Linked DNA regions of Macaca fascicularis. The protein of the gene in region 5 interacts with the protein of the main gene of each other region in a pairwise test. Links are inferred from orthologs where the notes say so. Each region holds a gene or a part of one and is shown on either strand. Other genes may lie near its edges.

Region 1 (3,500 bases), on a different chromosome or scaffold from region 5:
CCAAGTAGCTGGGATTACAGGCACCTGCCACCACGCCTGGTTAATTTTGTATTTTCAGTAGAGACAGGGTTTCTCCATGTTGGCCAGGCTGGTCTTGAACTCCCAACTTCAGGTGATCCACCTGCCTCGGCCTCCCAAAGTGCTGAGATTACAGGCGTGAGCCACCGCACCCGGCCACTGTATCACTTTTTTAAAAAACAACTAAATTAATTTCTAAAAAGCAAAACAAACAAACAAAAATCCTCCTGCTGCTCTGGCCAAGGAAAGAAGACGCCTGGGACGCACCTTCTGAGTTCAGGGTGATGAGGGTGACGTTGCTCCCAATGCTCTGGCTGCCCGCCTGTCCGCAGCTGGACACCGAGTCGCTGGCCTCCGAGCCGCTCTCCCCGTCTTCATGGTGGCTGTCTTCTTGGCCCGGCACCTTCACCACAATGGTGTTCTGCCGACGCCCAGGCACAGCGCTGAACGGGAAAAAAACACACCAACCCAGTGTGGTAAGAGCCACAAGCAGCACGCGAAGGTCAGTGCTTTCCTTATCACAAGATCTAACTCTGCATGGACCAGTGGATCACACAGCCTTCCCAGACCGCTCTCTCTACCAAGATTAATAGCAACTCCATAGGAGAAAATGGCCCGGGGCTAAACGAAACTGTATAAAATAAAACTTAACCATTTAAAGAAAATATTTGTATCACAAAAGAAGTAAAATCATAACTCACTGGGACTCAGGCCTAGTATGCTGCCTTCTGAGTTCAGCAGTCAACCTATAGAATGCTGGTAGGAGTCTTTTTTCAGGCGAGGTTAAAGGAAAGACTAAATCAGAAGACTGTGCCCAGAGGCCTGGGTCAATTCGATCCATGCTGCTGGGCGTGCTGGAGATGGCTCCGCCTCTGCAAAGCAAGCAGCACTCCCAAGTATGCCCACAGGCAAAAAAACCCTGAAGGGGCTTAAAAAACCCACTGAGATCCCATCGGAGCTGCCATCATCCCAAGGGCTGCTGATGTGGAAAGACAGAACACCGCTAGCAAAGCAGGGCGAGGCCAGCTCCACAAGTGCTCAAAAAAAAGATGATTTAGAGACTTACTACTTCCCTTTTTTAATGACCCTTTCAACATCCCCTACCGTGGACTGCTACGCACCAGAAGAGAAAGGACCACAATTTCTCTATTTGCAAAGTCAAAAAAAAGGGGTGCTGAAAACACTGGCCGCACCCAGAGGAGGCTGCACTCTGCGCTTTCTGGCCTGGGTTCTCCAGAGCGCTGTCCATGCTGAACCTGATCTCAACACTGGCTATCTGCCTGGTTGACCTCAGCGCAAAGCCCCCGAGGCACAGCTGACCCTGGCACCTCCTCACCACCCATCACCAACTCCTCTCCCTTCACCCCACGTATCAGACCCTCGTGACCACAGCTGCAGCCCTGGAGAACTGAGCTAAGACAATACGGAAAGGGGACGAAGCTGGAGGAGGAGCAATCCACAAAGGAGACTGAGAGAAAAAGCAAATAGAACTTTGTGAAGACACAGATGGGAAAGAAAAAGCAAGAGCATCCTCAGGGGTTCACGCAGCCCTAAGGGGCACTCCTGGGGAGAGCAGGGCCCGGATGCCAGCCAGAGGCCACTGCACAGCCTTCCCCTCACACAGGGCAGGGATGGCGTCTTCTGTCCACTCCCACCTCTGACCCAAGTTCCGTTCAAAATGTCTCAAGAGAAAAAGGCATAAGAAAAAAGTCATAAACTCAACATGCCTGCACCACTTAGCAATCGTGGGAGAGGGTGTCTGTTTGCCTGACACGCTCTGCACAGACAGACAGACGTCAGGACCACTGAGCTAGGTGGGAGGATGAATGCTTTCACTGACTGCTGTGAGGAGACAGAGCCAGCCCCCTCCACAACCCCAGCCAGCACGAGACACGGAAGTCCCCGGCGGCAGCTGCCCCCTGGTGTGGCTGGACTCAGCACTCAGCATCACCCAGCCTGCCCTCCCCGACCTCAGAGAGCTGGGGCGGTGCCTGCCAAGCTCAACCCTGTGACCACAGAGATGAAGTGCGTGCTGGACTGTGCCCTGGCTTGGGGACGTTGACTTATTCTCACGGGACTCCTCACAGTGGCAGGGAAAGGTGGGGTTGGTGCCGTGCTACTGACTTGCTAATGACATTTTCCAGGGAATCCGGTGCCCTGTTGCTCAAGGGGTCTTCCATCTTGGCTACAATGGCGTTCTGCCGATCATTGTTGAGTATTACTGTAGTCTGGGGGACGACGCTAGGGAACAAAAGAATCACAAAGAAAAAGAAGGCCTTAAAACAACAACATTCATGGTAAGAGCACATAAGAGTCATTCAACACAGTCCACTCCCAGGGACCCGCAGTGAGGGGGAGGCCTAAGAGTCATTCAACACAGTCCACTCCCAGGGACCCGTCCTGAGCGGGGAGGAGCCCCAAACGCTAAGGAAGAATAAACTGGAGATGGGGTTTTTAACAGCGTAACTTTCCTAATTGTTGGTGTTCTGTCTGCACAACTGGATAGGCTCAGGACAGCCGGGATGAGGATGCTGAGTGTGTGACACAGAACAGACTGCGACCACACCAGCTGTTATCACACCCAGTTAATAAAGCTTCTGGGGTGACACACTTGCACGAAAACCGGCTTGACATTTTCAGTCACTCCATCCCAACTAATTCCTATGGTACAGATCTAACGTTCGTAACCATGTAAGTGTTGGTATCGTCCAAAACGGTAGCGCCCTAGAAAGAAAGGGGCAAACATCACAGTGGATTGGGATGGAAGGACACACGTGCTGCCTCCAGGTTGTGCAGGAACATGTGTGAGCCACAACCACAGGGCTCAGGGTTCTGCTTTGAAGGAAACAATTCTACCAAAGAACAAACCACGGCCCAGAAACCACCAAACCTGGTGCCACCCTGGAGGAAGCACTAGTGTGTTCAGACAGGCGGGCTAACACAGCTTCATCTCAAAGTGCAGACTCACCCACAGATTTCAATTGTGCGTTTTTAAGCCTTAGCACTTTCTGGTCACAAGGGATATCTAAGGTACACTTTGTTGTGGAAGGGTGGGGAGAGAAGGAACTAGCACTTGAAATACAAAGTGGTTATCACCTGAGGATAAAACACCGTTCTTGAACTTCACTCTCCAAAAACCAGCTTGGGAAGCCTCTGCCTTTCTGTGATGTGCCCACAGGAAAATCCAGCCTAGCGTCCCTGTAACTGTCCCCACATTGAGTGCGAGCACAGCGCCATGCCATGCCCGAGTAAATCACGGGACCACAAGGTTTTCTTCCTAAAATAAAGGCATAATCAACTGCATTTAATTCAAAAATACTATTTTTAAAATTCCTCTACTTGTTATTGGTGACACCTAAAGTTAACACAACAAAACCTGATAAATGACCTACAGATCGGGTATGAAAAGCAGCCCAGGTGGCTGCTGGCTTGGTCACCACAGTCACCTACAGGCTGCAACAGTCCTATGCTCCTCAGAGATG
Region 2 (4,269 bases), on a different chromosome or scaffold from region 5:
CAAATCAAGAGTGGTCATTTAAAAACCAGACAAGAAAGAAGCACGGCACATCAAATATAAACCACAACTAATTAAACTAAAAGAAAGTATATTACAAAAAAAAAAAAAAAAGCATATCCAAAGTAAGGAAAGACATCCCTGATTCTGAAGCTGCCTTAAAGAAAGACAGTCACGTCCAGAGCCCCTGACTTTGGTTACTTTCCTAGAGCAATTCAAAGTTAAAAGAAAATTAAGCCACTATTTGATCTTCAGTTTGAAATGACAACATAAGCTGGAGAGAGGATGTGGAACTGCAGAGGTTCTCAAAGAGGTATACGAATACTTCATCAGAGAGGACCCGAAGGAAGACATCTAATAAGTAAATCTTAGTTGACAAACTTGGAGAAACATTATTTATAAACACCAATTTACAAGGCAGATCTCAAACTTAATAGTTAAAAACAAAGATAACCCAGAACAAGCAAGCCTAAAAAACTAATCAAAATTTGGCCGGGTGCAGTGGCTCACACCTGTAATCCCAACACTTTGGGAGGCCGAGGGCGGGTGGATCACGAGGTCAGGAGTTCGAGGCCAGCCTGATCAACATGGTGAAACCCCATCTCTACCAAAAATACAAACATTAGCCGGGCATGGTGGCACAAGCCTGTAGTCCCAGCTACTCGGGAGGCTGAGGCAGGAGAATCACTTCAACCTGGGAGGCGGAGGAGGCTGCAGTGAGCCAAGATCACACCACTGCACTCCAGCCTGGGTGATAGAGCGAGACTCCGTCTCAAAAAAAAAAAAAAAAAAAAATCAAAATTTTAAGTGTATCCTAGAAAAACTTTACAGCTTTTCTTTGAACCATCTAGGTCCTTTTAAAAGCTGATGCCTTGCCATGCTTAAATATGCGGGTTCCACTGACTTAAATCCTAACAGGAGAAAACTGCGCAAGTAGCAAACTGGCTGAGTTCAAAGATGCTGTTCTCCCCCATCTTCATTTTACAGCACCTAACAGTTTCTGGAAGACAGCACGCAGAATAATTGACAGGATTTGTAATGCTTCAGTATTACCAGAAAAAAAAACTGCACACATACTTCCAGCATATGAACAATTTTAACTCACCAGTCACCATGTTGCATGTATTTCTGCTGCTTGTCCTGAGTTCTTAAGACTTCTAATATTCTGAAGAAGATAGAACAAAAAAGTTCCTTCCATCCTCAGCCTCTTTTTATTAATAATTTTAACTTTGTTCTTAAAAAAAATACAGTACATTAGAAAGAACTACCCCACCATTATCAAATCTGATGGCTAATTTTACTTCCTGTTAGCTTCCTTTTCCTGAAGCTTAATGGAGCAAGACTGTAAATCATAAACTAGCAGATATTTTGTATTAGAAAATAGAGGTGCACATTTCTCTAGGACAAACCTAGAACTTCCTTGACACTAAAACACAGTGGCAGGGTAAAAAAAAAGAACTGAAAAGGACTGAAATCCTACATCAAAAGTGACTTTTACAGTCATACACTGTCAGATTTTAATAATTTCTCTTGGAGATTTCTGCAATTTCAAAAAAGACAAAGCACTGATTCTCAGGTTGTTCAATTTTGTTTTAAGGTCAACTTTTTGGCTGAGGCAAAGGTGGGCCTTTAGTATAACAGACTAAAGTAAGCCCCTCCCACCTACGCAAAAGAAAAGCCTGCGTTTAAGGATTTAAACTGGCATTTTAGAGCTCGGAGTTCACATGGTCCACATAAGCGAATTCCCTTCCGGAGCGCACAGTGGTGACGTGTATGAATTGCGCTTATGGACGTATTAATTTCTAATGAAAAATAAGCAGCTACTACTCAAGGGCCTTCTAATATTAACCTTCCCTGCCCGGCACAAAGCCCAGTACAAGGTGAGGAAATCCGAAGGGGCTCACTGCCCTCTCAAGCCAACAGGGCTTGGTTTCCGAAGCAGAAGCACCCTACCCAAGCACCCACACCGTACTTGGGCCTCAAGTAACGGCATTCTTTAAGGAGAACGGGCAATCTCGCCCCGCTCACAGAGGAGTGGAGCCGCAAGCCAGACAGCAACGCTGGTTGGTTTCTTTCCAGGCCGAGGCCACGGATGCCCGGGAACGTCACCAGACCAGAAAGGACCCAATCCTCAACCCTCCCCGCACAACGAGCCTCGGCCGGCCCTCTGCTCAGCAGAAGCCTCCTGCGCGCTCTCGAGGCGGCACCGCCACCCAACATCAGAGCGCGCGCCCCAAAACTGGGGGGGTTGTGAAGGGCGCGCGCCACGGAAAGCCGCTCTTGCCCACGGGCCACAGCTCCTAGAGGAAAGATATCCGGGCCGGGAACGCGCACGTCGGCGGCCACGCGCACCGAGAGCCGCACAGCGCGCGCGCGCCCGCGCGTAAAAACAGGCTCAGCCGCGCGCCCGCACCAGCGCGCGATCTCGCGCCGCGCCCACCCAAATCTCCGGCCCACCCCTCCCCCACCCACAAGGCGGGGTGCGCGAGCCCAGGAACGTTTTCGGCTCCGGAGCCGCCCCGAGTTCTCCAGGGCCCAGCGGTAGCGGCCCGCCCGCCCCCGCCCGCCCCCGCCCGCCGTTGTGTGGGGTGGGCTCCCCGACTCAGGCCCACAGCCTCGCCGCATCCCCGCCCGCACTGGAGCCCTCACCCGGCGACGTCACCGCCGCCGCCGCCTCCGCTCTACCCGCCGGCCCCGCCGCACCGCCAGGGACCCTGGTTCTGCCGTCGTCGCTCCAAGACCGACAGGGTTTTCTCCTCACAGCTCCCTGGGCGCCATCTTACATTCAACCCTCACAGCCAATAGGAGTCGATTGCTCCTCTCGCGAGAATCGGGGCGTCGGTCCCGCGAGATCTGGGACTGCCTCCCGGCCAGACTTAAAGTGAACGCTTCAGCAGGGGAGGCTGGCCGCGCCTCTGGCTGCTAAAGCGGATGGTGGATCATAGAGTATCGACGGCTCGCTCCGCCCATGGACGTCCCTCCATGTGGGGTGGAGCTAGGGCCGTGACTTGGCCTAGTAGTGGAGCCTGGGAAGGCTAGGGCTCCAAGCTAGCTCCTTGGACCCACCTTCCGTCGCCCGCCAGAGCCTCCTTTGGTCGAGCACCCCCACGCGGGGCGGGGCCTGGCCGGGCTCGGCCTCTCGCTTAAGGTAGACCCCACAAACTTCTGTCCTGGGCCTGGCGTCCCCAGGCGTGCCCTGCCTGGAAAGCCTCTAGGTTGCTCACCTCCTGGAGGACTCAGCATCTGGAACTCCCGCCATCTGCTGCCATCTGAGTTCAGCCTTCAGCAGTTGGGTCCACCTTAAAGCGGGCCCCCGGGTAGCCTAGTGTTTGTATACAGGGAAAATGTGGAAGGCGTTAAAGCTGCAGGCACACTCAGGCCTCAGCAGCAGCCCACACTGCCCCCAGAGGGCTTCCAGGCAGACTCTTTTTGCCTCGGAGCTTTTGCCCTTGTTCCTCTTATCCTGGCAAACTCCCCGTAGTCTTTCGTGATTCCCTTCAGAAGTCACTTCGTTAGAGTAATCTTTTCTGAGGCCCAGGCTGGGTCAGGAACCTCTTCCAGTCTTGCACAAGCCCCAGGGAGACCTCTCCCATGCAGTGCATGGTCACCCATTTCCCCTCCCGTGAACTTGGAAGGGCACCACAGCACGTATGCCTCATCTATGTCTGGCACGTAGTAGGCACTCAAAAATTATATGCTGAATGGGCCGGGCGCGGTGGCTGACGCCTGTAATCCCAACACTTTGGGAGGCCGAGGCGGGTGGATCACCTAAGATCAGGAGTTTGAGACCAGCCTGGCCAACATGGCGAAACCCCGTCTCTACTAAAAATACAGAATTAGCCGAGTGTGGCGATGCATGCCTGTGATCCCAGCCACTTAAGAGGCTGAGGCAGGAAAACTGCTTGAACCTGGGAGGCGGAGGTTGCAGTGAGCTGAGATCACGCTATTGCACTCCAGCCTGGGCAACAGAGTGAGACTCTGTCTCAAAAGTAAAAAAGAATTATATGCTAATTGGGCGCAGGGGCTCACGCCTGCAATCCCAGCACTTTGGGAGGCCGAGTTGGGTGGATAACCTGAGGTCAGGAATTCCAGACCAGTCTGGCTAACTTGGTGAAACCCCTTCTCTACTAAAATTACAAAAATTACTCGTGAGTGGTGGCGCCCACCTGTAATCCCAGCTACTTGGGAGGCTGAGGCATGAGAATCGCTTGAACCCAGGAGGCAGAGGTTGCAGTGAGCTGAGATCGAGCCACTGCACTCCAGCCTGGGCTA
Region 3 (3,500 bases), on a different chromosome or scaffold from region 5:
TTGTTTTCTTTCTGTGTTTCATTTTGGATAGTTTCTATTCCTATGTCTTCATGTTCACTGATCTTTTTTTTCGTAATGTCTAATCTGTCAATAATTCCATCTAGTGTACTTTCCATGCCAGAAATTGTAGTTTTCCTCTCTAAAAGTTTGATTTGGAACTTTTAAAATATCTTCTATATCTCCACTTAGCTTTTTGAACACATGGAACCCAATTATAACAATTGTCTTAATGTCCTCATCTGCTAATTCTAACATTTATGTTACTTCTGTGTCAGCTTTAATAATTTCTTCATAAGTCATAAAATCCTGCTTCTTTGCATGCCTATTTAAGTTTTGATTGAATGCCAGACAGTATGAATTTTACCTTAATGGGTGCTAGATAGTTTTGTATTTCTATAAATATTATTGAGCTTTGTTCTGGGATAGTTAAGTTACCTGGAAACAGTGTGACACTTAGGATCTTGTGTTTATGTTAGGTAGTCTTGAGCAGTACTAAGTCTTGGGCTATTTTATGCCCTACTACTAAGGCAAGATCTTTTTGAGTCCTCTACCCAATGTATCATGAATTATGAGGATTTCCAGCTTGGCTGATAAGAACAGGTACTATTCTAGTTGTGAGTATCAGGCACCATTGTCTCTAGTCTTTTAGGGTGGCTCCTTCTTTGGCCTTGGGTAGTTTCCTCATGCGCATGTACTGATCAGTACTCTGCTGAATACTCAAGGGGGACCCTCTTCAGGTCTTTATAGAGTTCTGTATGTAGCTCTCTCCTTTCCTCTATATAGCTCTTTCTCCTCTAGCTATTAATAACTTGGTCTCCCTTAAGTCCCAGATCCATCTCCTTGACTCGAGGAAACCACTGGCGCCCACCCCTAGGTTCTCCCTCTCTGCATTGTGGTTTGGAAACTTTCTCAAGGCAGTAAGCTGGGACAATTCTTTTCTTTTTTTTGAGATGGAGTCTTGCTCTGTTGTCCAGGCTGGAGTGCAGTGGCACAATCTCGGCTCACTACAACCTCCGCCTCCCAGGTTCAAGCAATTCTCCCGCCTCAGCCTCCCAAGTAGCTGGGATTACAGGCAGCCGCCATCATGTCTGGCTAATTTTTGTATTTTTGTAGAGGCGGAGTTTTACCATGTTGGCCAGACTGGTCTTGAACTCCTGACCTCAGGTGATCTGCAAGCTGGGACAATTCTAAGTCCCACCTCATTTACTTCCTGTCTCCTGGGGGCTTTGTTCTTTGCTGCGTGATGTCCACTGTTTTGAAAAGTGTTTTTCATAGGTTTTATCCAGTTTTTTTTTATTGTTTTAGGCAGGAGGGTAAATCTGCTTGCAGTTATTCTATATAGGGTGGAACAGTGACTTGCTTCCAATGAACAGAATGTACAGGAAGTGACAACATGTTACTTTTGAGACTAAGACATAAAAGATATTTTGGCTTCTTCATTGGTCTCCCTCTCTTTTGGATCAGTTGTTCTGGGAGAAGCCCACTGCCACAAATTAAGGACATTCACGCAGTCCTTTGAAGAGATCCGAGTAGTCAGGAAATAAGAATTTCTGCCAACAGCTAAGTGAATATGCCATCTTACAACTGGATCCTCCAGTCTCAATCAAGCTTTCAGATGACTGACATCTTGGTTACAACCTTATGAGGGACCCCAAGCCTGATCTACCTAAGCCACTTATGAATTCCTAACTCATAGCTACTATGAGATAATGTTTATTAATTTAGACCACTACATTTTGGGATAATTTGTTACACAGCAATAAATAATGAATAGAGGTACCAAATTATGCTCAAACCGTAGAAAGGATCAGTTGAATTTCTTAAATAATTTTATCCTTTTCCCATCCCCAACCCAGCCTAAGTAACAATGCACAGACAAAATCCCCACACTTAGCACTTGGAGCATTTATACTCAAAACTTTCCCTGTGTGACTTTTGTCAAGAAATAAACCGTGAGTTGTTGTAAGCCTAAGGTTGTGTCAAAGCAACCAGGGTATGTTCTAACTCAGGAAGCATAAAGTAATATATATTATTTTAATTCTTTATAGTATCAACAGAGATGTTATCATTCCACTTCCAATGAGGGAAACTAAGGCATTAATCAAAAAATAAATAGATTCCAGTCATATATTACTTTCATAATTCAGCAATGGATTTATGAAATTTCCTCTTTTGGAAATCTTAAATAAGACTTATATCCGTTTGATAACATATATTAGCAGCAAGGCTACCTCAAGGAAGGAGATGCATAGAACCTCTGGAAGTCTTTCTCATCACTATGATTCTGAATTTTATACAAGGGAGAAAGGGAAGATTGAAATTTTGAAGAGGAGCATAGATAATTGTTTATGTATGAAGGAGCTTTGTAAAAACACTGCCCCTGGCCCAGTGATTGCCTTCCATAACCCTAGGGGACAGTTTCACCTGAGTCTATGTGGAATGTAGAAAAAATATTTTCATGTTTTTGCATAGTTAGGGCTTTCTGAGCAAAGAAAACTGGTACCTGGGTTAAAGGGCAAGTCTTGTAATTTAAAAGATGATTGAATAGCCAGAGACCTCAGAAGAGATTTAGAGGCTTCCCTCCTTGTGTGTTTACATTTCAAAGGGCATAAAAGGAGTCAGTTGTTTACATTTCAAACATCTGTCAATGCCAAGGTTTCTCTCCCTCTCTCTGGAGTGGAAAGGGGCAGCTTGTAGCCTATTTATACTCCCAGATTAATAATTTTGGGGTTTCTCTTCAACAGTGCATACCCCTATATATGCAGGATGTCCTCTGGCTCTCATGGTGTCACTCGGGGGCTACAGTGTGTGGAGAAGTAGTGGGGTTATTGTTGTAAGTGTTAATAACTGTGATCTCTATTCCAGAAACCTTACCACTGTATCTCTTTTCAGGATAAAATGAATAAATATAGATATACATACCACAAAAGGGAGGATGCACTCATGCTGATCTTGTACCATGTATAAACTGAACAGGGACATGCGGCTAGGGCCCATCAAACTGCAGGCTAGAGAGAAGAAGTTCTGCAGAGCCTCACAGAGGTTGGCGCAGATATCACCCCAGGACGGTAGAGCAATGTGCACAATGAGAAGCCGTGGAGGTTGCTGGTCAATCTGAGTGTGAGTGGAGGGCCCTTTACCAGTAGTTCGCCCAGGATGCATGGCAGCAAAACCAGAGGCAGAACTGTAGCCACCAGCTGGATATTGTTTACACCTATAGCGAAGGAAAGAGAAACCACTGGTTTTCAAACTGAATTGTGTGTGCTCTGTTGAAATATAAAACGCAAGTTGAGGGAAACAATCCAGAAAGGAGTCAGATTGGGTACTAAAGCTTGTCCAGGCCATCCTTTTTTTTTTTTTTTTTTTTTTTTTTGAGACAGAGTCTCCCACTGTCACCAGGCTAGAGTGCAGTGGTACGATCTTGGCTCACTGCAACCTTCGCCTCCCAGGTTCAAGCAATTCTCCTGCTTCAGCTTCCTGAGTAGCTGGGATTACAAGCA
Region 4 (3,953 bases), on a different chromosome or scaffold from region 5:
GTCACAAAATGTTAAGCTAGACCTCAATTAGCAAATGTGTTCACTGTTCTTCCATGGCCCAGGACCTGGATTCTTGTGAAACACCTAATTTAAGGTCGAATCACTGTATCAGTAGTACTGTCCATAAGTTTCAGCCTCAGTGACCAAAAAAACTTCTTTGGATATGTATAATAAACATTTTCATCAGATAAGCTATAAGGCAGGATGAACCCTAGACCAACGTTTAGGAGAAGTGGAAGATACAGCGCTGCCTCTCAACCAGTTAACACTGTGACTGTGCGCAAGTCTTCACTGCCTGGCATCTGCTTCTTTGCTTTAAAAATCATACCATGGTCAGTTACTAGATGGTCTGTACAGCGGAGTCCAGTTTCTCTTCTCTTTATTCACCCAGAGGGACAGAGTCATCCGTATCAGAATTCTGTATTCCAAACACTTTTCTTTTGTTCTGAGCCTATCTTTCTATTTTATAACTGCCTACTCCTCATAAAGGCACTGAAAGAATACAAAAATCTCCGGTGTTTGTGCTTCGAACTCTGAAGATATTAAACAATGCAAGATCTTGACGTAAGTTCAATATGACTAAGCACTTGGGACAAAAGATGACCCGAAAGATGATCCTTTCAGTTACACAGTCTATAAATTTACCTGTAATACCTAAAGTCAGCTGCTATTCTAGATGTCTATTTTCTTGGGGATTATTCCCCCAACTATCCCCCAACTATCATGCCATTCCCCCAGCTATCATGCCAATGGATAGACACTAAAATCTTGAAATACGCGTAACACAAGGTTTATCAACAGTGGCACTTGGGGCCTGATAATTCTTTGTTGTGGGAATCCTGCTGTGCCTCATAGGATGTCTGAGCAGCACCCCGGGCCTCTCCCACTAGATGTCGGTACCAGCACCACCCCCACAAGAGGTGGCAACCAAAAATGTCTCCAGATATTGCTCTAGATAATGTCCCCTGAGAGAGGGGAGGTAAATCCGGCTGGTAAAGAACTACTGATTTAAAGAACAACTCTTCCTTTTACATAAGAGAAGCTTGACACTGCCCCCTTTCAGCGCCTAAAACCACCTTAAGAAGAAAGTGCTAGCTAACCTAGGTTAGGAGGCCGAGGCTGCTTCCTGGAGACTAAGAAATGCACTCAAGACCTACAAGGCCTTTCCCCACAGCTTGATCCTAAGTGGAACGGCCAAGAGAAGCGTGGCAAAGAACTCTGGATCAGGAAGCCCCTCTCATCTTTACCATAAGCTAGGTGCACTGCAAAGTACATAGGAAATAAGCATGATCTGAAACAGGCCGGCTGAAACTTTCGAGAGAAACCAGTTCAGGCATTTCCAGGTAGCAAGGGACCACCCGGGGCAGCTCCGCCCCGCGCCCCAAGCCCGGCGGCCTGCGGGGCCTCCCGGGGCCGGGTGCCCGCCCGGAGCTCCCGCCACGCCCACCGGACGTCACCCGTTACACAACGACCCCCGCCCCCAGCTTATGCAATTCTGCCCTCCCGCGGCTCCCAATTGTCCCGGTGACTTTTGTGGGTGAGGAAGGGAGACGCCGCCTTCCCGGCCTAGTTGTCCTCGTGGGGGATTCTCTCCCCACCCCGGCAGTCGTTTCCCCGCGGCGGGCCTGGCGCGAGAGAGTCAATTCCCGGAAAGCGCGCGGCAGGAAGCGAGCGGCCGCTCGGGATAGCCCAGCTCCCACCCATCCCGCGCCGGGGCACCCACGGCTCCGGTCACCCACTCCGCGCCCGGAGCGCGCGCCCGACGGCCAGGCCGCGGCCGAGGGAACCCCGCGCCGAGCGCCCCTCCCCGCGCTGCGTCACAGTCGGCTCCCAGGGCGATCCCCATTGTGACCGAAGCACCCCGGGGCGCCGCCCCCTCCCACACCCCCCAGCACCCCGAGACCCAACACGCCAGTGGCCCAGCGGCCCCGGGGAAGCAGAGGAGACTCCCGGGACGCAGACAAGCTCCGGGTCCCCGGCCCTCGGGGCCAGGAGGGTGCGGTCGGCCCGGCCCCGCCGCATCCCCGCGCGGTCACCTGCTCGCAGCGCCTCGCAGGCGGCGGCCAGGGCCTCCCGGTAGCGCCCCTGGTGTAGCAGCTCCCCGAGTCTGCCAGCCGCCCGGGCCCGCTCGCGCTGGCCCGGGAACCACTTCTCGGCCAGGTGGTTGAGGACGACGCTGGTTCTGAAGTCTGAGGCGGCGATGGCGGCTGCCAGAGGCGGCGGCCGCGGGGCGGTCCCTTCAGCATCAGTGGCACTGGCGGTGGCGGGCGGCAGCCGGTCCCGGCAGAGGCGGCAGCGGGCGCGGAGTTCCCTCCGCAGGCAGCGGCGGCAGTAGCTGTGGCCACAGGGCACGGTCACCGGCTCGCTCAGGAAGCCCCGGCAGCCCAGGCATCTGAGGAGCCCGCAGGCGCCGCCGTCCGCGCCCGCAGCCGGGGCCGCGCTCCAGCTCAGCCCGTGGCGGAGCCGGTAGTTGAACACCAGGCAGTCCACCAGGGCGCCCAGGCACTCGGGCCTGGCCGGGGCCCCGCGGCGCAGCGCCGCCGCGAACGCCTCCAGCGCGCCCTTCAGGTGGCCGCCCAGCGCCAGCAGCTCCCCGCGGCGGAGCAGCAGTTCCCAGCGCTCCGACTCCGCGGCCGCGCGCTCCAGCCGAAGGCCGCTGCCGCCGCCCACTTCCCAGAACCGGCCTCGGCCCTGCGGCGCCGGGGCCATCTCCCGACTCCCTCCCGGGGAACTCCTCGCCACCGCCGGAGAGGACATGGCCCGCGGAGGGCTGCGCTGCCGCCGCCCGCCGCCACGGTCCGGGAGCCTCCCGGGCGCGCGGCTCCGCACGCGGCCCGCGAGCAGGGGGGCGTGGCGCGCGGACACGGCGGGGCGGCGCGCGCCCGGGAAGCCCCGAGGGCGGGGCCTGGCGAGGGCGGGGCCGGGCTCGGCGACGGCGCCGGGACTCCCCCACGCAGCCCGCGGCCGCGCTCGCGAGGAGCCAAGCGCTGGGCCCCGCCCCTCCCGAGCCCCCTCCCGGCGGGGGCGCAGGTCGGATGATTCCTCCGTCGGAGATCTAATTGGCTTCTCCGGAAAGGAGGGCTCGGCTCGTGACGGAACAAAGCCCGATGGAGCCCAGAGTCTCCGTCCCCGCTTGCCTGCTCGCCGACGCCCCCACCTGCGGTGGCCCGCGCCCTTGCCGCGCGGGACTCAGGGTCACCACCCCTCCCCCGACGCCCCCGCCCAAGCCGGACCTGCCCCAACTCCTGGCGGGCGGGGGTCTCCCGGCGTGTCCTCACGCTTGTGCGGGTCTGCATTTTCATTCCTCTATGCCCAGGTTCCAGGTGGGCGCTCCCAAGCAGGGGGCCTGGGAGGGCACCTTCGGCAGATGTCTGGGACTCTTCGGTTCTAGAGGACTCAACTTTAAACAGGAACACAAAACCCACGTTCCTGGGGCGACTCCCTCCAGAGGGCAAGGAGTTTTTCCTGGTGCCAGGTGACTGCTGCCCTTTGCTTAAAACTCATCGTAGGCCCACCTCGAGGGAGAAAGCCCACACAGTTCCTCAGGTGTCTCCACACCTCAGGCACTGCCTTACAGCTGGTTAAAGTCTATAGTTGGCATATTTAAAAGAAAACACCGAGAAAAATGTTTTTCACGTGGCGGTCACCGTATTACTACAACCCAAGCAGGGTCTGCAGTTTTGCCAACAGAAGAAAATGATGGGGTTGATATATAATAGGTGCTATTTCCCTTAAACTTCACAGCGGCAAGTTTAAAGCTCTCCGCTGAAAATATTTATAGATTTGATTATAGGGTATTAGATTGTTAATGTTAGGAGTCACTTAGAACTTTTAGTCCTTTTTCAAATGATGGGAAACAGAGGGAAAGTTATTTGTCAAAAATCACACAGCTAATATAGATTTTAAGATCACGTCTATTCCACTATTATGTTACTACGTTAGACTGATCGTAT
Region 5 (3,996 bases):
TGAAAGCTCACAGCCACCTGATGGGGCAGACACGCAGATAACTCCGTTCTACAGCAGGGGAGACTGAGCCTGGGAGGGAGGGAGGTGCCCACAGGTCAGGTGGCTGAAGACCTTAAGGACTTCCAGGGGGTCCCAGCTTCTCACACACTGCATGCACCACGGACCTTGGGAACAAGATCTCAGGGAACCATAACCCCATGGAAACTTCCTCCGAGGCGGCTCCTGGTATCATCCCGGCTTTACAGAGGAGGAAACTGAGGCTGAGGGAAGTGGAGTCTCCAGTTCTGTCTCGCACATCAGCGGCAGAGCCAGGGCTGGGCCAGCACCTGCCCCGGAGCCTGTGCCCTCCTGACCACCAGGCGACATGGCTTCTTAGGACACTCACCACAGCCCCACGGAGCTCAGAGGTCCCTTTCTCAGAGGAGGAAACTGAGGCTGAGAGAGGTTTCGTCAATTCCCGAGGTCACACAGGTGATGAGTGGAAGAACCAGGGGTAGAATTTAAATCTCTTTGGCCCCAGAGCCCCGCTCTTCACCCTCAAGTCTACCTGGGGACCCCAGAAACAGAATGAAGCTGGTATCCTGCCCTGCTCCCACTGCAGGCCAGGCCCGCAACACGGGGTTCCCATGGCTTATCTGGCTGGATCATCGTGACAGCTTCTCATTGTCCCCACTTTGCACAGGAGGCAACCGAGACCCAGAGAGCCCATGTGAGGGGTCCAAGGCCACACAGTGAGAAAAGAACAGGGTTTAAACCCAGACTCGGCAGGGCGCGGTGGCTCACGCCTGTAATCCCAACACTCTGGGAGGCGGAGGTGGGTGGATCACCTGAGGTCAGGAGTTCGAGACCGGCCTGGCCAACATGGTAAAACCCTGTCTCTACTAAAAATACAGAAATTAGCCGGGCATGGTGGTGGGTGCCTGTAATCCCAGCCACTTGGGAGGCTGACGCAGGAGAATCGCTTGAACCTGGGAGGTGGAGGTTGCAGTGAGCCGAGGTCGTGCCACTGTACTCCAGCCTGGGTGACAGAGCGAGACTCCATCGCAAAAACAGAAAACAAAAAACAAAAAACAAAAAAACAGACTCATGTGGCTTCATGCCAGCCTTTGGGAAGACCCTCCCAGCCCAACCACGTTCAGGGCCCTCTCTTGTCAGCCACTCCAGCCTCTCTGCAGCCTCTGTTGGCACCTCTGTCCAGTGGGGATAAGGAGCTGGGTGGATGCACCCACTGCCGGGCATGAGACCTGGGGGAAGCCGAGACCCATGGCACAGTTAGAGTCTGAGCAAATCAACTCAGTGATCAACAATGTGATCCCTGGAGCATCCAGAAATTCAAACACAGCGGGCAGCCTTGAAGTCAGACCTCACTCTGTGGCCATCTCAGCCCTCGCTCGGTCCTTTTGGGAAAACCGCATCACACCTCCTCTCTGTGGCAGTCTGTCTACCTGATTCTACCCTCTGCCCTTCATCCATCCATTCATTCATACATTCATTCATTCATTCCCTCCATATTCAGTGAGCACTCACTGTGTGTCTAGGACTGACCCAGGCACTGGGAATACAGCCGAGAACAAGACAGACAAGGCCCCAGTCCTCCTGACTGGGGCAGACAAGGAACAAAGTGTCAATCAGAGTTTTGCAGGAGACCGGCCAGGCGCAGGGGCTCATGCCCGTAATCCCAGCACTTTGGGAGGCTGAGGCGGGCAGATCACTTGAGGTCAGGAGTTCGAGACCAGCCTGGACAACATAGAAAGACCCCCCATCTCTACTAAAAATACAAAAAATAGCTGGGCCTGGTGGCACGCGCCTGTAGTTCCAGCTACTCAAGAGGCTGAGGTGGGAGGACTGCTTGAACCCAGGAGGTGGAGGTTGCAGTGAGTGGAGATCATGGCGCTGCACTCCAGCCTGGGCAACAGAGCGTGACTTCATCTCCAAAAAAACAGCTTTGCAGAAGATCAGAAAGAGTGACTGTGCTGGAAGCTAAGACAGCAGGAGCGTGAGGAACCCCAAAGTAGAGCCTGGGCTGAAAGCCGGAGCCTCTGGGTGCGTCGAGGCCCCAAGTGATCAATTCACCTGCACAGTGATCCCCAGTCATCACATTTCCAGCTCCCTCGAGCAGGCCCAAGTCCACCCGGACTCCTGCCTGCTGCAGCCACAGACCTGGGCTCTCTGCGTCTATGTCCGTTCCGTCCCTTGTCTGTCATTCATCCATCCATCTACGCAACACATATGTAGGCAAATCCCAGCCACACGCTGGGGCACTGGGGAGAAATCAATGCTCAGCAAGGGAGGGAGACCGGCCATTTGTGGATCATTGCGCAAATGAAAATTTTGGGCAGTGCTAAGAGTTTTAAAGAAAATCCAACAGAACGGTGTGCTGAGGAGTTGCCTTAGAACCACGGTGAGAAGCCCCCAACCCCGGATGCTGTCAGGGCTTGAGGGCGCCCACAAGCCACCCTGAATCCTCCAATGCCCTGAGTGCCGTGGGCCAGTCCCTGCTGTCTAACCTTACTCCCTCCTGCTGCAATCACATCCCAGCCCTGTTTCCCCCAAACACCAGGATGACACCTCTGTTTTGTGTGTGACTATTCAGCAAATGTCACCTGCAGAGCACGGCAAACACAGCCATGAATAAAATAAACCCAACTTCTCCCCTCTCTTTCTTCTCCCCCATTCCCTCTCCCTTCCTCGGTCCCCTCCGCCTCTCCTGCAGACGCTCACCTTCAGAAAGGAGGGACGGGGCTCTCCTGGTGGCCCAGGACCTAGACAGAGCGGCCAGACAGCAGAGGCTGAAGGAAACACGTCCCCTCACATGGGGAGATTTTAAGCCCGGGCTGGGAGTGATGTCATTTGTCATGGCCCGGATCTCGGAGGGTAATCCTGGCCAAGGTGGGGGACTCGACTGGGCACCAGGAGGTGACATTGGCTGGAAGGGGGAGGGGCACCCGTCTGCTTAATCCCCTCCTCTTCCCCCCATGACATCTTGGCAATTAGGGTTGACGGGGAAGGGAGGCCCCAGCTCCTGCCGGTGACCATAAGCCCCTACTCCTCAGGGAAGTCCTTCCTTTGGTCTAACTGGTGTCTCTCCAGCTTCAGCTGGTATCCCAAGAGAGAGGCATCAAAGAGGAAGGAGAGAACTGTCAGAGGGTCCTGAGAGACCATCTGAAAAAAGAGTGGCACGGGGCTTTCGGGATCCCTCTCCTGGGTCCCCCTTTCTCTGCACAACAGTTTGTCTGACAGTTAGTTTATCTCTGTACTGCCTCATTGTTCTCCGTTTCTGCCTCAGTTTCCCCTGTTTCTCTTTCTTTGACTTGATCAACTCCTGCCTGTGGCCTGTCTGTCTCTGTGTTGTCAGACATGATATTATCCTCTTTTGGGGGGCAGTGGTGGGGGCGGGGGCTGCTCCCAGCACTGAAAATAGGCAGACATTAGAAAGGGTGTTTCGTTTTTCTGTTTTTGGTGGAGTTTGAGGTTTGGGGTTTTTTTTGTTTTTTTTCTTTTTTGAGACAGGGTCTCACTCTATCGCCCAGGCTGGAGTGCAGTGGCATGATCACGGCTCACTGCAGCCTTGACCTCCTGTGCTCAAGGGATCCTCCCTCCTCAGCCTCCCAAGTAGCTGAGACTTTACAGGCACACACCACGATGCCCAGCTAATTTTTTCATTTTCGTAGAGATGGAGTCTCTCTATGTTGCCCAGGCTGGCCTCAAACTCCTGGCCTCAAGGGATTCTCCCACCTCAGCCTCCCAAAGTGCTGGGATTGCAGGCGTGAGCCACCGCACCCAGCATTTGCCATCTCTCTACACACCATTGGTCTTTGTCTGGTTTCTCTGGACCTCAGTTTCTTTTCCTTTGGGCCTCAGGCTGTGGCATTTCTGCCTGCTCGCCTGAATACCCCTCTTTCATTCTCCATCTGCTCCTCTCCGTCCCTGTCTTTGTTGATGAACCTGCATTACCACCTTGGTCTCTCTTATTCTTTCCCTCTCTTTCTGTGTCTC
Region 6 (3,500 bases), on a different chromosome or scaffold from region 5:
TATTTTGGGGCAAAGTGATGAGCTCAATCCTCATCATGAGGCTGAGGTGCTGCTGGGATGCCAAGTGGAGCTATGTAAAAGGAAGATGGATATAAAGAACTGAAAAGTGGCAAGATCTTGGCTAAATAAAGAAATTTAAATGTTTCAGCACATAAGTGATAGTAGAAGCCATGAATCTCATGGAAAGTACCCAAGAAGAAAACTGCAGGGATGGCAAAGATGTGACACATGTTGTTATCCCTTCCTTCCTACCTATAGAGATCCCAGTATTCGTACCCGCTGAACCCAGACACCACTTCAAAAATCCTTTCAAATCCAGTCCTTTCAGGGAGCTGCCAGTAATAGAGGAGTGTAAGTATAACCTATTTGTCAGCCCTGATGTAAGAAGGCCAAGAAACATCAACATTTAAGGAATAATTAACAACTGAACAAAGACAAACCAATGGAAAATAAGAGGGGAAAATCAAGAGGATGGAGTTATAAAAATCAATAGAAGGGGCTGGGCACGGTGGCTCATGCCTGTAATCCCAGCATTTTGAGAGGCCAAGGAGGGTGGATCACCTGAGGTCAGGAATTCAAGACCAGCCTGGCCAACATGGTGAAACCTCATCTCTACTAAAAATACAAAAATTAGCCAGGTATGATGGTGCATACCTATAATCCTCCTGTAGCTACTCAGGAGGCTGAAGCAGAAGAATCGCTTGAATCCAGGAGGCAGAGGTTGCAGTGAGCTGAGATCACACCACTGCACTCCAGCCTGGGAGACAGCGAGACTCCATCTCAAAAAAAAAAAAAATCAACAGAAGGAAAAGGAACAAAATTAACAAGTGCCCAATATATAACAGGCATTATTTGGTGCTGTACAAGCTATCTCATTTAATTCTTCAAATGGCTCAGTGGAATTACTAGTATTCTCTCCATTTTACAATTAAGGAAACAAACACGGAAAGGTCAGATAATTTTCCCACAATTGTAAAGGAAGTAAAGTTTAAGCCTAGGACTATCTGACTCCACCCATTACAGCACTGCTTTCCACAGACAGTAGAATGAATGTATCTAACTTCTTCCTCCAGCCAAGCATTATGGACCACAGATGCTCCTTTACACAACCTCTGAGTACTTGTTTGGGCTCAAGATATGAAAGGCCCAATTATTTTACATGCTACAACTAATATTAGCTGGCTTAATTCTGAACTTTTCCCTCTAAATAAACAAATATGTTCTATTCAGACACTGATTAAAACTATTTTGAATGGTTTAAAAAAAAAAACTTACCAAAAAAAGGGGGTGGGGGAATAATAATCCTGATTTGTGACAGTTGCAGTTCATATTATTGAAAGTTCACATGCAAGGATTAGTCTATTACTTCATGGAACATAAAAACACAAAGTACAACAGGGTGAAATTTAGTTTAGGATGACCTAAATAGGTTTATAACTAATTTAACTAATAAAGGCACACCATGCTTACATACCTAAAGCTATCATGAAAGGAGGATACAGTAGGCAAAGATCCGTTCTGTAGGTATCATTCACTATCCTCCTATAGAAATGTAAATCATATTATTACTGAAAGCAGAACTACCTCATCTGGTTGTACATTTCCTCCAGAGAGGGCCAGATTTCTCATCTTTGCACACATTTATTTCCTTTTATATTACTGAAGCACAGCTATAAAAGTGAAAACATCAAGGCAAAAGGATGGATACATGAATGTGATAACAAATAAGCACGTATCAATGAATAAAATTACAGCTAAATATATTTTAAATTTCAAAATCTCATAACAAATTATAAACACATTTTTCTAATTTTTGAAAAATCAAATTAGAAAAACAGAAATTATACAGTAAATTTGTATGTATGTTGCATACTACCAAAAAGTATTCTGATTACTTTAAAGATAGCTTCAGTCTTAATTTTTATGTTAACAGTCTGTGTTTTGTATAAAATTAAATTTCAATAGGTATATTTATGGAACAGATAATTTAGGATTGTTTTCATTTTGGCATTTACACCACTATAGTTATTAAAATTCAACAAGTGGTATTTTGCTCAACATAAAATATCTTGGGGCAATAGTTTAATGACTTTAAATATACTGGACTTCATATTTAATTGTCAACCTTCCTATCTAATAACACGTTACACTATTAATAACTTCTGTTCTAATTACCATGCAAGGGGAAGCAACATGTCTTCTTGGCCCATGTCCTGCACATACTGGAGCAAAGGTCTATAAGGATGATACACTATCAAGCAACAATCCTAGAAACAGTTTAAAAAATGTGTATGTATAAAAAACAGATTTATTACAACACAAAAATGTTATCATTACCCAACTGATTTGTAATTGTGTATTTCAAAGTGAATTTCACTAACTCATGCTTGCTTCCCTTTTATTCTCTTAAGCAAGCAGTATGACAGCCCTAAACTCTACTATAATAGTGAAGGCAGTGCTCTCTCTGGAATATACCTTGATAAATCGGTTGGCAGTCAGTCAGCATCCATTCATTCCCTTAGAGACTCAAAGTGTCACATCTGCAACACACTGAAACCTCTTATTAGCCTATAAATCCATAATTCCCAACTGGAGGAGCAGAATTCTGCCAAAGACATAATCTATCTTTAAATAACACTGCACGCACACACAAATTGTGCACATAATTTACGGTGGTTTAATGTCCTGACTTGTCTGTTTGTAATCCTTTCATTATAGTTACTTACTATAGAACAGAAAAATTTTCTCATCCCTAAGTAGGATATACAAATTATTTTACAGGCATCAGAGAGACTCTAGATGCTAATATAAATAGGCTACCATGATTTCACCATCACATATCAGGTGGATGGTTTTAAAATGTACCTCCCTAAAATAATTTCTTTAAATAATTTCCAACTTCATTAAATTTTAAAAATGTTTTAATCTATTAATCACAGAAGATTTACTTACCATTAGTTCTAAAAGATAGAATTCACATTCTAATATCTGTTGAAAACAAAGATTATCAATGAAATGTTAATATGAAACCAAATTAGATAAGTCCATCCACTTAATCTAACATAAATTACAGACATTATAGTAATTATTAAAAATGTTTACTAAAAAGTTTTTAAAATCCAGACAATAAACATAGTTTATATTAAAATAAATATCTGCAATAAAAAATTACTATATTATACATGCAATTATGATTATAAAGATTTTAATCCTTGTAAGGAAAAGCCAGCTTCTCACAATCATTCTTATTACTCACTTTTATTTAAAATATCCTGTAAAACCATCAGATTTTCCAGTATACTTTCTAATACAATTATTTCTACTTAATTAAAAAAATGTAACTTAAAGAGAATAAACAAATCCCTTGCAAGGTGGAAAAAGGACATACCTATTAAAATGTCAATAAAAACTCACCTTATATTTCATATTGTTCCATTAGTTTTTAATCCCAGCTGAATAGTAGTATCACCTGGGAGCTTTTACACAGTACCAATGTTGGG
Region 7 (4,132 bases), on a different chromosome or scaffold from region 5:
CAGTTGGAAAATTCAGACTTGTATACATCATGAATACTGCACATTCTAACAGTAATAAGGTAAATGAGTGATTTTGTTTCTAAAATTACAAAGATATTGTTGAAATAATTATTACTACCATTAGGTATTATTTATCTTTTCTCTGAAATATTACAATTGACATAAATTAGTACATTAATGTAAGGTAAGACACAAGTGAAATATATAATGATGTACTATCAACTCCAAGCTTATACTAAATGCTAATATCTTTGTTTTCAAAGTGAATATTTTAACTTAAGGATCTTAGTAATGAATTGACAATTTTCCAGAAAACAGCCTTTCTTTAGTTCTCCCTTAAGGATGTAGACTAGGCCCACATGCCTCACGCGAGCTACTGAGGTAGTGACCCCGGCAGTGGAGCCGCAGAGACTCTATCTTTAAAATCAGAATAGAGGATGTCAAGGATTGGGTTTCATTTGTTCTAAAGTGTTGACATGTTGTGTGTGTGTGTGTGTGTACGCACACACACTCCACCTGAACCTGATCGTAGACCTGGAGGAGAGTTTGAGATGGTTATCTCACTCTACCACTTGATGACAAGTCGGTAAGTAGCCTGAGACTAAGGCAAATTCAAGGACTCTCTCAAGGTCATACAGGTAGTTTAACTCGCTCACTTGGTTAGCCAGAGCAGGGCGATGCTAAGTTTCTTCACTTCACTATGTCCCAGTGTGCCTGGCCCTTTTGAGCTATTACACACATACTTCCACTTAACAACCAGTCTCCTAAAACAAAGTTCATATTTACATAGGAAGTCTACCAAATGCTTGAGAGACGAACCATAATTACATTATTTGGATGTGATTTTCTAATATGCAAGATATGATTGTTTCCTGTGAAGATGTACATGGACAGAAACAGAATGAGATGCACTTGCTGTACTGTGGTCCACTTTCATGAAAGTGGTACCATGTGACTCTAAAGTAGGCAGACTTTAAAACAAAGGAGTGGGCTGGGCACGGTGGCTCACGCCTGTAATCCCAGCACTTTGAGAGGCTGAGGTGGGTGGATCAGCTGAGGTCAGGAGTTTGAGACCAGCTTGACCAACATGGAGAAACCCCATCTCTACTAAAAACACAAAATTAGCCAGGTGTGGTGGCGCATGCCTGTAGTCCCAGTTACTTGGGAAGCTGAGGCAAGAGAATTACTTGAACCTGGGGGATGGAGGTTGCAGTGAGCCGAAATCATGCGATTGCACCCAGCCTAGGCAACAAGAGCTAAACTCCATCTCAAAAAACAAACAAACAACAAAAAACCCCAAACAAACAAACAAAAACAAAGGAGTAAAACACACCTCACCTACAAATGTGTGGCTCCAAAAAAGTGCTGACCTCTTTGAGAGGCGACACAATGTTGCAATGAATTACTATTCATCTGAACACCTATCAGGCACATTTTAGTTGCTGAAAAAATGACACATCTCTTTTATTCCTGTGCCACAACATTGCTGGAAGCCCACATTTGTAAATGGCTGGGAAGCAACTCTCATTCTACATCCCCCATCCCCCACAGCCCAGACTTCAGAGTCACTCAGTTTTGGCCCAAACCAGTATGACCAAGCATAATTGGTCATTCTCTGGAATTGGCTTCAAACCACTTTATTTACCACTTCATCCATCCCAGTTCATTCTTTGGACTTGGCTCCAAACCATTTTTGCTTTATACAAAAATGCTTTATACAAAAATGCTTTATACAAAATACAACGAATTCACCCTAAAAGAATGATGATTTGCTTGTCATTATAGAAGAAGTAAGTTTCGGGGACAGATGGCCTCGTTGGCATGACTATGGGGCCTCCTTCCTCTGGGCAGTCAGGCAGGTCTGAACAAATTGCTGAAGTCTGGCTATTTGTTTTAAGTTTAGGTCATTAGATTCACTTTATAGTTGTACCTCATAGTTTTGCTGTATGAGAAGCAGTGGTATTTACATCTGTTTAGATTTTCTCGTTAGCTTTCTCATGGATTTAAAGTAAATGAATAAGGAGAGAGGCACCTGATTTCTACCTTGGTTAACGGGAAGCGAAAGGACAGGCGTCCCGCTCTCCCCAAGACTGGGAATGTGGAGCCTGATCAACATTTCCTGCTGCTTTCCGCGTAATTTCAGGCAAGCACAAGGAAATTGCTGGGAGAAGACACATTTCTTCTTCTTTCTTTCCTTTTTTTTTTTGAGACAGAGTTTTGCTCTTGTTGCCTAGGCTGGAGTGCAATGGGGTGGTCTTGACTCACAGTAACCTCCGTCTCCCGGGTTCAAGCGATTCTCCCGCCTCAGCCTCCCGAGTAGCTGGGACTATAGGCGTGCTCCACCACGCCCAGATAATTTTGCATTTTTAGTAGAGACGGGGTTTCTCCATGTTGGTCAGGCTGGTCTTGAACTCCCGATCTCAGGTGATCCGCCCGCCTCGACCTCCCAAAGTGCTGGGATTACAGGCGTGAGCCACCGCGCCCGGCCGAGAAGACACATTTCTAAACCCAATTCAGCCTTTTGTGGAGTTCAGTTCTCTTTATACATTTGAGGGGGCCTCAGAAACCCAGAAATTTTGCGTGTGTGTGCGTGTGTGTGTGTGTGTGTGTATGGTCCGTCCGCAGACTCTTCAAGAACTTGAATGCCATTCTCCCTCCCTCCTTCGGATAGACAGCGCCCCGCGTGCCCGCACACACCCGGTTCACTTACCTGAGGCATCTGTGGATCGTTGATGTCCCAGCTGAGCTGCATCCCGTATGAGCACACGCCGACCGTATCCTGCACCGCGGCTGCCGGCATCTGCCCAACTCGCTCGCGCTTTCCGCCCAGGGTTCTGAAAAATAGAAGAAAAAAGGAGAGGTGCGCCAGGTGATTTTTTTCTACTCTTTAAAGAAGAAAGTGGGGTATGTGTGTGAAGGGGAGGGGCAGAGAGAGAGAGAGAGATTGTTTAGAAATCTGGAAGTTGGGGACAATGGTTATGGACCCGGGCGGGGCCCTGTCCTCGGCCGCGGTGCTGAACGGTCTCCACCCGAACGGTAGCATCGACGTCTGCAGCTGATCCCTCCTTTATAAAGATGCATCTCCGGGGGACTCCGCCCTGTTTCGCCTACCTCGCTAGCGCCCACGCTCCAGGGGCCAGCCACCACCTCCACCACAGACTCAGGAACGGAGGTGGAGGTTAAACTCAGCCCTGGAAGCAAAGGGAAACTGCAGCCAGGGGGTGGGGGTGGAGAGGGTAAGTTGGAATGTATCCTTTAAGTTTAAAACCTTATTATTTTCTTCTCTTTTCTTCTTTTTTGTCTCACTCCGTTGCCCAGGCTGGAGTGCAGTGGCGCCATCTCGGCTCACTGCAACCTCCGCCTCCCAGGTTCAAGCGATTCTCCTGCCTCAACCTCCCGAGTAGCTGGGATTACAGGTCCGTGCCACCACGCCTGGCTAATTTTTGTATTTTTAGTAGAGACAGGTTTTCGCCATGCGAAACCCTTACCAAGCTGGTCTTGAACTCCTGACCTCAGGTGATCCGCTGGCCTGGGCCTCCCAAAGTGCTGGGATTACAGGCATGAGCAACCGCACCCGGCCTATTTTTTTTTTTTTTTCTAAACGCATCCAGCTTCCCTGATTTCGGAAAGGGGCTTAGATGGAGGCTTTGGAAGCAGAGGCTTTCCAGCAAAGTCCCCTGAGAGTCAACACTCAATTCCAGTAGAGCATGGGAACCGTGCATGGGCCCCTCTGCCGTCCGCGCGCTCCCTACGCTGAATAACCGTGCCCATGCCTCCTAGTTACGGGTCAGCCCATTTTGGGCCTCCATTGCCGGCTCTTCCCCTAACTATTGTGCGTGTCTCGGAGTCTTCGCTCGGCTGTTTGGGATGTGTGAACGGGCGCCACGCCTCCGCGTATGCTCGCGAGCCCAGGCGCCTTCGCGCTCCCGGGGACTTCGGAGGGACCTGGCCCTGCAGGAACGGAGTCCTACAAAGTGAACCCGGAGGAGGTGGGGGGAAATGAGCCTGGGGTAGGTAGGAGCCTGGGGAAGGACGGAAAAGGGAGAGGGGTAAAGTCCCGAAGAACTCCTAGCTTTCTCCACTGCTTTGGCTCCCTCTGGGTCTCAGCTTCCTTATCTGTTAAATAAGGGGT

What was found.
Region 1: the proteins of CRX (region 5) and BANP interact in binary tests that used the Homo sapiens proteins (3 or more experiments, as listed by UniProt). The two-hybrid records come from large-scale screens. The link is inferred for Macaca fascicularis from reciprocal best matches to the Homo sapiens genes CRX and BANP.
Region 2: the proteins of CRX (region 5) and QRICH1 interact in binary tests that used the Homo sapiens proteins (3 or more experiments, as listed by UniProt). The two-hybrid records come from large-scale screens. The link is inferred for Macaca fascicularis from reciprocal best matches to the Homo sapiens genes CRX and QRICH1.
Region 3: the proteins of CRX (region 5) and M1AP interact in binary tests that used the Homo sapiens proteins (3 or more experiments, as listed by UniProt). The two-hybrid records come from large-scale screens. The link is inferred for Macaca fascicularis from reciprocal best matches to the Homo sapiens genes CRX and M1AP.
Region 4: the proteins of CRX (region 5) and LONRF1 interact in binary tests that used the Homo sapiens proteins (3 or more experiments, as listed by UniProt). The two-hybrid records come from large-scale screens. The link is inferred for Macaca fascicularis from reciprocal best matches to the Homo sapiens genes CRX and LONRF1.
Region 6: the proteins of CRX (region 5) and CCNC interact in binary tests that used the Homo sapiens proteins (3 or more experiments, as listed by UniProt). The two-hybrid records come from large-scale screens. The link is inferred for Macaca fascicularis from reciprocal best matches to the Homo sapiens genes CRX and CCNC.
Region 7: the proteins of CRX (region 5) and GCM2 interact in binary tests that used the Homo sapiens proteins (3 or more experiments, as listed by UniProt). The link is inferred for Macaca fascicularis from reciprocal best matches to the Homo sapiens genes CRX and GCM2.

What each region holds. Positions count from the first base shown.
Region 1 is NC_088394.1:83,903,431-83,906,930, reverse strand, and holds part of BANP (protein BANP), read right to left. Parts: intron 2,260-3,500; coding exon 2,143-2,259; intron 462-2,142; coding exon 286-461; intron 1-285. UniProt on the Homo sapiens protein: Controls V(D)J recombination during T-cell development by repressing T-cell receptor (TCR) beta enhancer function. Binds to scaffold/matrix attachment region beta (S/MARbeta), an ATC-rich DNA sequence located upstream of the TCR beta enhancer.
Region 2 is NC_088376.1:112,079,671-112,083,939, forward strand, and holds the start of QRICH1 (transcriptional regulator QRICH1), read right to left. Parts: upstream 2,801-4,269; 5' UTR 2,647-2,800; intron 2,328-2,646; exon of another isoform or gene 1,271-2,327; intron 1,163-1,270; 5' UTR 1,103-1,162; intron 1-1,102. UniProt on the Homo sapiens protein: Transcriptional regulator that acts as a mediator of the integrated stress response (ISR) through transcriptional control of protein homeostasis under conditions of ER stress.
Region 3 is NC_088387.1:47,298,671-47,302,170, reverse strand, and holds part of M1AP (meiosis 1 arrest protein), read right to left. Parts: intron 3,215-3,500; 5' UTR 3,163-3,214; coding exon 2,923-3,162; intron 1-2,922. UniProt on the Homo sapiens protein: Required for meiosis I progression during spermatogenesis.
Region 4 is NC_088382.1:12,685,945-12,689,897, forward strand, and holds the start of LONRF1 (LON peptidase N-terminal domain and RING finger protein 1), read right to left. Parts: upstream 2,801-3,953; 5' UTR 2,758-2,800; coding exon 2,037-2,757; intron 1-2,036.
Region 5 is NC_088393.1:55,829,273-55,833,268, reverse strand, and holds the start of CRX (cone-rod homeobox protein), read right to left. Parts: upstream 2,801-3,996; 5' UTR 2,722-2,800; intron 1-2,721. UniProt on the Homo sapiens protein: Transcription factor that binds and transactivates the sequence 5'-TAATC[CA]-3' which is found upstream of several photoreceptor-specific genes, including the opsin genes.
Region 6 is NC_088378.1:75,758,689-75,762,188, reverse strand, and holds part of CCNC (cyclin-C), read right to left. Parts: intron 2,989-3,500; coding exon 2,953-2,988; intron 2,551-2,952; coding exon of another isoform or gene 2,527-2,550; exon of another isoform or gene 2,386-2,526; intron 2,268-2,385; coding exon 2,176-2,267; intron 1,543-2,175; coding exon 1,475-1,542; intron 1,366-1,474; coding exon of another isoform or gene 1,355-1,365; exon of another isoform or gene 1,281-1,354; intron 1-1,280. UniProt on the Homo sapiens protein: Component of the Mediator complex, a coactivator involved in regulated gene transcription of nearly all RNA polymerase II-dependent genes.
Region 7 is NC_088378.1:162,067,661-162,071,792, reverse strand, and holds the start of GCM2 (chorion-specific transcription factor GCMb), read right to left. Parts: upstream 2,801-4,132; coding exon 2,711-2,800; intron 1-2,710. UniProt on the Homo sapiens protein: Transcription factor that binds specific sequences on gene promoters and activate their transcription. Through the regulation of gene transcription, may play a role in parathyroid gland development.